Linked DNA regions of Callithrix jacchus. The protein of the gene in region 2 purifies or fractionates together with the protein of the main gene of each other region. This does not show direct contact. Links are inferred from orthologs where the notes say so. Each region holds a gene or a part of one and is shown on either strand. Other genes may lie near its edges.

Evidence for each region.
Region 1: the proteins of WWOX (region 2) and DVL2 purify together in Homo sapiens (affinity purification with mass spectrometry; 4 studies listed by BioGRID and IntAct, counting the BioPlex papers as one, with this or other methods). This does not show direct contact. The link is inferred for Callithrix jacchus from reciprocal best matches to the Homo sapiens genes WWOX and DVL2.

Annotation. Positions count from the first base shown.
Region 1 is NC_133506.1:73,724,649-73,728,887, forward strand, and holds the start of DVL2 (segment polarity protein dishevelled homolog DVL-2), read right to left. Parts: upstream 2,817-4,239; 5' UTR 2,553-2,816; coding exon 2,359-2,552; intron 2,327-2,358; exon of another isoform or gene 2,234-2,326; coding exon of another isoform or gene 2,226-2,233; intron 1-2,225. Other genes in the region: PHF23 (PHD finger protein 23), read right to left, coding at 3,913-4,127, 4,216-4,239.
Region 2 is NC_133521.1:35,599,457-35,604,005, forward strand, and holds the start of WWOX (WW domain-containing oxidoreductase), read left to right. Parts: upstream 1-1,578; 5' UTR 1,579-1,706; coding exon 1,707-1,813; intron 1,814-4,549. UniProt on the Homo sapiens protein: Putative oxidoreductase. Acts as a tumor suppressor and plays a role in apoptosis. Required for normal bone development. May function synergistically with p53/TP53 to control genotoxic stress-induced cell death.

The DNA.
Region 1 (4,239 bases), on a different chromosome or scaffold from region 2:
AATCCCATCTCTACTAAAAATACAAAAATTAACTGGGCATGGTGGTACGTGCCTGCAGTCCCAGCTACTCGGGAGGCTGAGGCAGGAGAATTGCTTCAACCCAGAGGGCGGAGGTTGCGGTGAGCCGAGATCGTGCCATTGCACTCCAGTCTGGGTAACAACAGCAAAACTCCATCTCAAAAAAATATATATATATAAATACAAAAATTAGCTGGGTATGCTGACGCACACCTGTAATCACAGATACTTGAGAGGCTGAGGCAGAAGAATTGCTGGAAGCTGGGAGGCAGGGGTTGCAGTGAGCTGAGATCACTCTACTGCACTCAAGCCTGCGAGACGGAGCGAAACTCCATCACAAAAAAACCCATTAGATCAAGCAATGGAAGCTCCTGATTAGATTGAAAGTTCCCAAGGAGAGGGCAAGCTAAGCTTCCCATTCCCCAGTGCCTCATCTGTCACAAAATTCTGCACGAAGCAATCTGCTCAGCCTGACAGATCCCAAGGCCCAGCCTTGCGGTCATCTCTCCAATAGGTTCACCCAGTGGACTAGACTTAATGCTTCTTCTTGACCACAACATCACATCATGAACACTCATTCTGGTCAACACCATGTCCTAGCCACACAGCACAAAGTGTCACTTCAGCATTAACAAATACCGTTGGCTAAATGAATCAACATATAAATCATCAGACTCTGCCCTAGTTGTTCCTCTCTTTCCACACACACCCTTGCCCCCAAATTAAGACACCTTGTCTGATTAACCCTTTGGCCTAATATGGTTATGGGAGCCAGGATATATGCCAACTTAATCCACTTGCTGTCAATGTGCCAACACAGCCCAGTCACTACCAATCTGTTTCAGCATAATGCAGGATTCTTCCCAATATAACATAATCTCAGCATAGCTCAGTCCACTCTAAGACAAGTTATTCCGTATCACCATAACCTACTTTATAGTCAGCCTCAGTACTAATAATGACGATTACCATTCACCAAGAATTTACCGTTTGCCACACACCTGATCTAAGCATTTCATTCTGTGTTTTTTCTCCATGTCACAGATGAGATCAAGACAAAATTTAAATAAATTGTCCAAGGGTATATTGCGGACAACCAGAAGAACCTTTTAAAACCCACACTAACCCAACTTAATCCAGCCTGCCTTCAAAAAAGCAGAGGGTGAGGACCAGGGGGCTCAGTCCCTAAGATTATAAACACAAAAGGGCTTTCTCTGCATTATTTACAAGCCCATCTAGTCCAAGATATCCCTGAATGTCCCAAATTACGTTAGGAGCCCAATCTATTCTAGCACAGCCTACAATGTCCCCACAAGCAGCTGTCTGCACCAATATAGACTAGAATACCCCAATACAGCTGCCTGTACTAGCATGGGCCCCGACAGCCTTGTCTGCCCTTATACAGAGTGCTCCGATAAAACCACGTCTTGCCCCAAGAGAAACCAGGATTAATCAATACAACTCAGTAGAGTCCATAATAACCCAAGCTTCTTTTTTTTTCTTTCTTTCTTTTTTTTGAGACAGAGTCTCCCTCTGTCGCCCAGGCTGGAGTGTAGTGGCACGATCTTGGCTCACTGCAACCTCTGCCTCCTGGGTTCAAGTGATTCTCCTGTCTCGGCCTCCCGAGTTGCTTGGACTACAGGCGTGTGCCACCACATCGGACTAATTTTTTGTATTTTTAGCAGAGAGGGAGTTTCACCGTGTTAGCCAGGATGCTCTCGATCTCTTGACCTCGCGTTCCGCCCGCCCTGGCCTCCCAAAGTGCTGGGATTACAGGCGTGAGCCACCGCGCCCAACCATGGATAAGTTTCTCCGCAATATTCTATTCCAGGGCAACCTAGAACATCCCAATAGAGCACTCTTTGCATCAGTATTGACTAGAATATCCCACCAAAAATCCCGTCTGCTCTAAGTATACGCCAGAATGTCCCAAGTTGATCCAAAATGGCCTTATCTACATCAAAAGATTCCACAATAGCACTAAATAACCTGTGGACAACATGCAGGACTCCTGAGAACGTATTAAACGACCAGACAATGGATCAATTTACTCAGTACAGTCTAGAATACTCCAAAATAAACCAGTATGTCCCCACCTATTCCAGTAGAACGTAATCTTCTCTAATCTGGTTTAGGATATCCTAGTCTGTCCGTGTGCCTCGATCTATCCAAGCATAACCTTGTCCATCCTGGCATAGTCAACCCACCTCAGCATAGTACAATCTGCTCCACCATAGGCCAGAAATTCCCAGTGTGGCCCAAAGTAGATGTGTACCTCTCCACGTCGCCCAATCCACTCTAGCAAAGCCCCCGTCGGTCCTATGCAGGCCTTGCGCTCACCCAAAATCCTGATCCATAGACTTGAAAAAGTACTTGGCGCCCGCGGGCCGCTGCAGAACGCTCTTGAAATCGCCGAGGGTGATGCGCTCGGCAGGGACAGGGATCTTCACCAGGTAGGGAGTCTCTTCTTCATCCAGGTGGTAAATCACCTTCGTCTCCCCAACCCCACCGCCCCCAGTGCTGCTGCCCGCCATGGTCTCGCCCGCGCGCTCCCGGGCTCTGCCGCCCACCCAACCGGGCAAATGGCCCCTGCCGCGCCTGCGCACACACACAAACGGACGCACGAGCGCGGACAGGACCGACCTAGTACAGGAGAAAAGCAAAGGAAAGAAAGCGGGGGTCGGCGAGGGTGGCGGCGGGGGGCGGGCCGCTGGGTGCGACTCAAAGCCACGGTCTCAGCGGTAGCCCGGCGCCATCGCCGCCGACGTTGCGAGCACCTCCAGGTTCCCGCCCACCTCTCCTCATGTCACGTGACCCAAGCCAGCCCACTCTGCGTTGCTCAGCCGCCCCCTCACGTGACCCCCCCATCAGTCACGTGACCGCCGGACTCCTCCTAGCGTCCCCGCCACGTGATCGCTGCCTTCAGCAACGGTCTCCCAGCCCCCAAATGGGTACCCTGGGCGAGGTCCTGCGTGTACCGTGGCTAAGCTGGCCTCTGCCCTCAGGAAGCAGATAATCGGCTTCCACCGTGCTTTACCCGACCCAGGCGGGAACGCGAAGCAACTCTGACCCGCCGGAGTGTGCGTTGCAGGGAGTGAAGATGGGGATTGTGGGGGTTCCTAGACTATAGTAGGGAGGGACAAATACAATGAAAGCTCTAAGGTGGCTTACTCGAGTATCTTGGGGTGGGAAAGGCCCAGTGCCGTGCCATGTTCAGATTGGACTTTGAGAGGTGGTTTTCAGCCCCACCTCCGGCTAGTCTTCAGCCAGCTCTTCCAAAGCCTCCCTCCCAAGCAGGACAGTCAGTGAGGGCTATAAACACAGAAGAGCCCACTCTGCTTTATTTACAACACGCAGGCTGTCTGTACAAACAGCGGCCAATATTATTAAAAACAAAAGAGGTGAATGAGAATCGTCACCTTTCTGCTTTCCTTCGTCACTTGGCCAGGCTCTAGTACTCCACCTTTGAGCTGCCATGCCCAAGAGGGGAAGTCCAAAATTAAAAATACAACCGGTGTAGAAGAAAATAAATGGGGAGTGAAATAAAGAAAAGATGAGGGAGGGAAGTGCTAATATTTACACTAGAGTTTTATAGACAACTGTCCCATTCCATCCCGACCCAGAAAATGATGGTGGCAGGTCCAAGAGACAAGAGATAGTGTCTAGAGACACAGACAGCCTCCCACCCCCAACTGGGTCCAATTTCAAATCCACAGAGTGGGGAGGAAGGAGAGGGTAGGAAAGTGAGACATTCATTTTCAAACAAGTCTCCTTTGGGAATTCCTGCCTTGAAGTTCGGACAGTATCCAAGCTCCAGGGGATAGGCTGAGGTCCCTGAGGCTCAGTTCCCAAATCGAGTTGTCATTTGGAAGTTCCAGCTTAGAGTTGGCGCCGTCAGGGCTCTCCAGATTTGGGAGGCCCCCCTAACCGCCGGGCCTCTGGCCTCAGTTCCTTGCATTTCTGGCAATAAAAGAAGTCAGGGACATTGGTCTTCTTAATCTTAGCACAGGAGAGGTGGATCCACGTCCCACACAGGCTGCACTCAATCATGGGCCGCCCTGCAAAGGGCTTTCGGCAGTAACATGTGATTAGATCCCATGAGTCATCACCTGGGGAAAAAAAGGTTTGGTATTCTGCCAGAGCTGTTTTTGGATTCACAACACCCTCAAACCCATCGCCCCAGCCCAAACCTCTCACCTGATTCTACCATGATGTCCTCGT
Region 2 (4,549 bases):
GCCCAGGCTGTAGTGCAATGGTGCAACTTTGGCTCACTGCAACCTCTGCCTCCTGGGTTCAAGAGATTCTCCTGTGTCAGCCTCCTGAGTACCTGGGACTACAGAAGCATGCCACCATGCCAGGCTAACTTTTGTGTTTTTAATAGAGTCAGGTTTTCACCATATTGGCTGGGATGGTCTCAATCTTTTTACCTAATGATCCACCTGCCTTGGCCTCCCAAAGTTCTTGGATTACAGGCGTGAGCCACTGTGCCTGGCCAGAATTTGGTTTTTAATTAGATTGATTCACAGAGAACCAAACCTAAGGAATCACATCATTCATTCATTTGTTCATTTAATAAATTTGTAGGTTGAAGCATTTTACCAAGTGATGGCAATAGAAAGAAGGCCCAGGTGTGGTTTGTCAGTTTCGTGGGGACTACACAGATGAGTAAATAACTGTAATGCAGTGACAGGATCTCAACGGCCAGGAGACCCCTGCTTCTCCTCTCTTCCTGTGCCTTCTCATGTAGTTAGCTACCTTTTCTTTTCTTTTCTTTTTTCTTTTTAATGCAGATTCTGGACCCATTGCAGACTTACTAGAGGAAATTCTCTAAAGGTGAGGCAGTTTTTAAAAGACCGGATCTCTCTCTGTCTCCCATGCTGGAGTGGCCCGATCATGGCTCACTGCAGCCTCCATTTCTTGGGCTCAAGCGATCTCTGACCTTAGCCTCACTGAGTAACTGGGACTATAGACATGTGCCACCATGCCTAGCAAATTAATTAATTTTTTTATTTTGGTAGAGACGGGGGTCTTGCTGTGTTGCCCGGGCTGTTCTCAAACTCCTGGCCTGAAGTGATCCTCCTGCCTCAGCCTCCTAATGTGTTTGAATTACAGGCGAGAGCCACTGAGTCCGTCCTAGCTCCCCTTTCTGAGTTGTGCCCACTACACAAAGGTGTCAGGAACATGATATGTCTCTGCATTTCCGGCCTGGACCCCACGTTAAGCGCTCTGTTAACGTCAGTGTCTTATCAACAACACTGTGTTTTGGCTGGAAGAAACTTCTTTAAAACCAGGAAATCAGGAATCAGCATTTTTAAGTTCACCAGGTTAAATAACATTGTGTTCATATGCAAAACAAAGTTTGTGAATCAGCACCAATGCTAGCAAGCTCTGGAAGGTTTGTGATCATGAACTTTCACGAGGCCCCAAGGCAAAGAGAGACAGAAGCCCAGGACACCAGCATGGGCGGCGCTTTCCAACCAGGCGCCGCCTGGACTACATTTCCCACGATGCCCAACTGCCGGGCTCCTGCGGGATTGGCTAGAACAACGAGGAAGTGATTACGGGTCGCCCAGCAACGGGCGGAGTCCTGAAACTAGCTGCGCACGCCCCTTCCCTGCGGCTGGGAGGTTGACGAGGCTCCGTTCCATATCGGAGCACTCTCCGGCTTTACTGTCCAGCCCGGCGGCAGCGCGACCTCTTAGGCGCTTTCACCGCCTTGCTCTCCAGGCCCAGCCCCTTTGACGCCTGCAGCCGGGATACTGCGGAAACTGGAGTTTAGCTTCGTGGTCGGCGGAGTGGTCCCCGGAGGGCGCAGTGCGCAGGCGTGAGTGGTGGAGACCCGACGCGCGTGGCGCTCGTTTGGAGTCGGAGTGAGTTCCTGGGCTACCGGACTCAGCAGCGAGCGAGCGAGCGAGCGGGTCAGGTGCCTCCTCCGTCTGCCATGGCAGCGCTGCGCTACGCGGGACTGGATGACACGGACAGTGAGGACGAGCTGCCCCCGGGTTGGGAGGAGAGAACCACCAAGGACGGCTGGGTTTACTACGCCAAGTAAGGGGGCTGCAGTGGGGCCGGGGACGCACCTGGGACCCTGCACTGGCCTCGGACACCACCTGCGCGGGGAGGGCGCGCGCTCCAGCGCAGCGAGTGCGGTGCAGAGTGGAAATGACTGTTAAGCTGCTTAGGGGAAAGGGTCCAGGGTCTTTATGGGCCTCGGGTCCAGTGGGGGTCACCTGGTGGCATCCCGGCGCGCCCTCTGCTGTTCAGGAGGCAGCCCTGCGCGGAGCGGCGAGGGCAAAGTGGCCTCATCACCGCCAAAAAATAAAGACGTTTAAAGTGCACGTACTCAGCTTTCTCCTTCAGGCTCTGGGTTGCATGACTAGGAGTTTTGTTTTGTTTTCTCCAGACAAGTATCGCTGTGTCACCCAGGCTGGAGTGCAGTGGTGCCATCACGGCCCACTGCAGCATCGGTTCAGGCAATCCTCTCATCTCAGCCTCCTGAGTGGCTGGGACTACAGGCGTGCGCTACCCCCATGCCCAGCTAATTTTTAAACTTTTTTTGTAGAGACTAGGGTCGCACCTTCTTGCCCAGGCTGGTCTCGAACTCTTGGGCTCAAGCAGTTCGCCTGCCTCAGCCTCCAGAATTGAGATTACAGGTGTGTTTTTTAGCAGAAGTCCTACATAGTTTCACTACCGTTTCCTGGGAAAGTTTTGGGAACCCCAGAGAGCCTTTGTCTTTAACTGTGTGACCTTCGGCCATTGAAAGGACGTTGAATCTTAATTTTCTCACCTGTAAAATGGGTTGATATGAGGGTCAGTTCAGGCACTGTGCATAAAGCACATAGCACCGTGTCTAGTAGGCACTCTGTCCCTTAACTGTCCTGGTTGCTCTTCAGCTATGACAGTGCCTCTTGACAGCAGCACCTTAGAATCACAAGGGGAGTGTCCTAAGTACACGTTTTGGGTCTCCATAGAACCTATAGTAGCCGACTCTCAACTTTGGGAGAATGTCTGTTAAGCTTTTCAGGTAAGGTGGAATATCACTTGGTTTTCAGAAACATGGGTGTAAATCTGATTTTCAGCACCTGGGCCCCGCTCCCAGAGGGGTTTTTCTTTTTTGAGGCAGAGTCTTGCTCGGTCTCCCAGACTGGAGTGCAGTGGTGCGATCTTGGCTCACTGCAACCTCTGCATGCTGAGTTCGAGTGATCCTTGTGGCTCAGCCTCCCAAGTAGCTAGGATGACAGGCAGCTGCCACCGCGCCTGGTTAATTTTTGTGTTTTTAGTAGAGACGGGGTTTCACCATGTGGGCCAGGCTGGTCTCAAACCCCTGGTCTCAAGTGATCTGCCCACCTCGGCTTCCCAAAGTGTTGGGATTACAGGCGTGACCCACTGCGCCGGCCCAGAATTTCTGATTTAATTGGTTTGTGCCCTCCCCTCTCCCTTGGTAGGTTGTAAAACTCTTCCCTTCCAGGACATTCTAATCTGTGCAAGAATGTGAACCGCTACTACCTTTGGTGGCAAGGCAGAAGAAAAACAGTAAAGCTCTGATGAGTTCACTCACGACACACAAGGGTGTTATGTGCCGGGCCTTTTGCTGGCACTGGTTATACCAAGGCAAGTAAGAGCCAGTTGTCATCCTTGGCACCCAATCTTATAGGGCACACTGACATGTAGGGGGGATCCCCACACAGTGTGTGTCCCAGGAAGCAATGTGTCTGGCATGAGGTGTGTGTGGGTAGTTGGTGGGAACGTTAGGAAGTATAGTGACATGGTCACAGTAACCTTGACTTCCTGGGCTCAAGCGATCCTCTTCCCTCAGCCTCTCGAGTCTCCAGGACCACAGGTGTATGCCACCACGCCCAGCTAATTATTACCTGTTTTGTAGAGATGGGGTCTCACTATGTTGCCGAGGCTGGTTTGAACTTGTGGACTGAAGCCTTCCTCCCAAAGCTGTGAAATCATAGGCATGAGGCTTGGCTCCAAGCCCAGAGCAGTGTTTTGAGTACAGGTAGAAGTTGGGGGGGGACAGGAGGGCAGTCCAGGCAGAGGGAACAGTGAGAGGAGAGACCCCCAGCATGGCCTGTACAGGGACCTGTGATTTTGTTTGTTTGTTTGTTTTATTTTTTGAGATAGAGTCTAGCTCTGTCACCAGACTGGCGTGATCTCGACTCACTACAACCTCCGCTTTTAAGCGATTCTCCTGCCTCAGCCTCCCAAGTAGCTGGAACTACAGGCACGTACCACCATGCCCAGCTACTTTTTGTTTCTTAGTAGAGATGGTTTCACCATGTTGGCCAGAATGGTCTCCATCTCTTGACCTCATGATCTCCCCACCTTGCCTTCCCAAAGTGCTGGGATTACAGGTGTGAGCTGCCGCCCCCAGCTGGACTTGTGATCTTTGTGAGGTCCAGGAATGTGAAGGTTGAGGCAGGGAAGGAAGGACCCAGTTACCGGAGTTCTCTGCCTTGCTGAGAAGCTTGGCCTTTGTTGACAGAGCCAGAGTGGCATTAGGCTTGTGACTGCAGGGAGGATTTCTGGCTCTGGAGAATGACAGGGACATTTCCAGCAGCAGCAGAGAACCATTAACCGCCGCAGGGGTCAAGGCCGGCTCCTGAGCGGGCACTTGCTGTCCCTCTCACCTGTCCATCTGTGGGGGAAGGGCTCCTTTTCATCTTTCAGAGATAAGCTTACGTGTCACTGTGCAAGAGATCTTCCTGACTGTGGCTGTCCCCTCTACCTTCTACCTGTCACCTGATTTCTCTGCTGCTTTGCGCTTAGCCTTGGCTC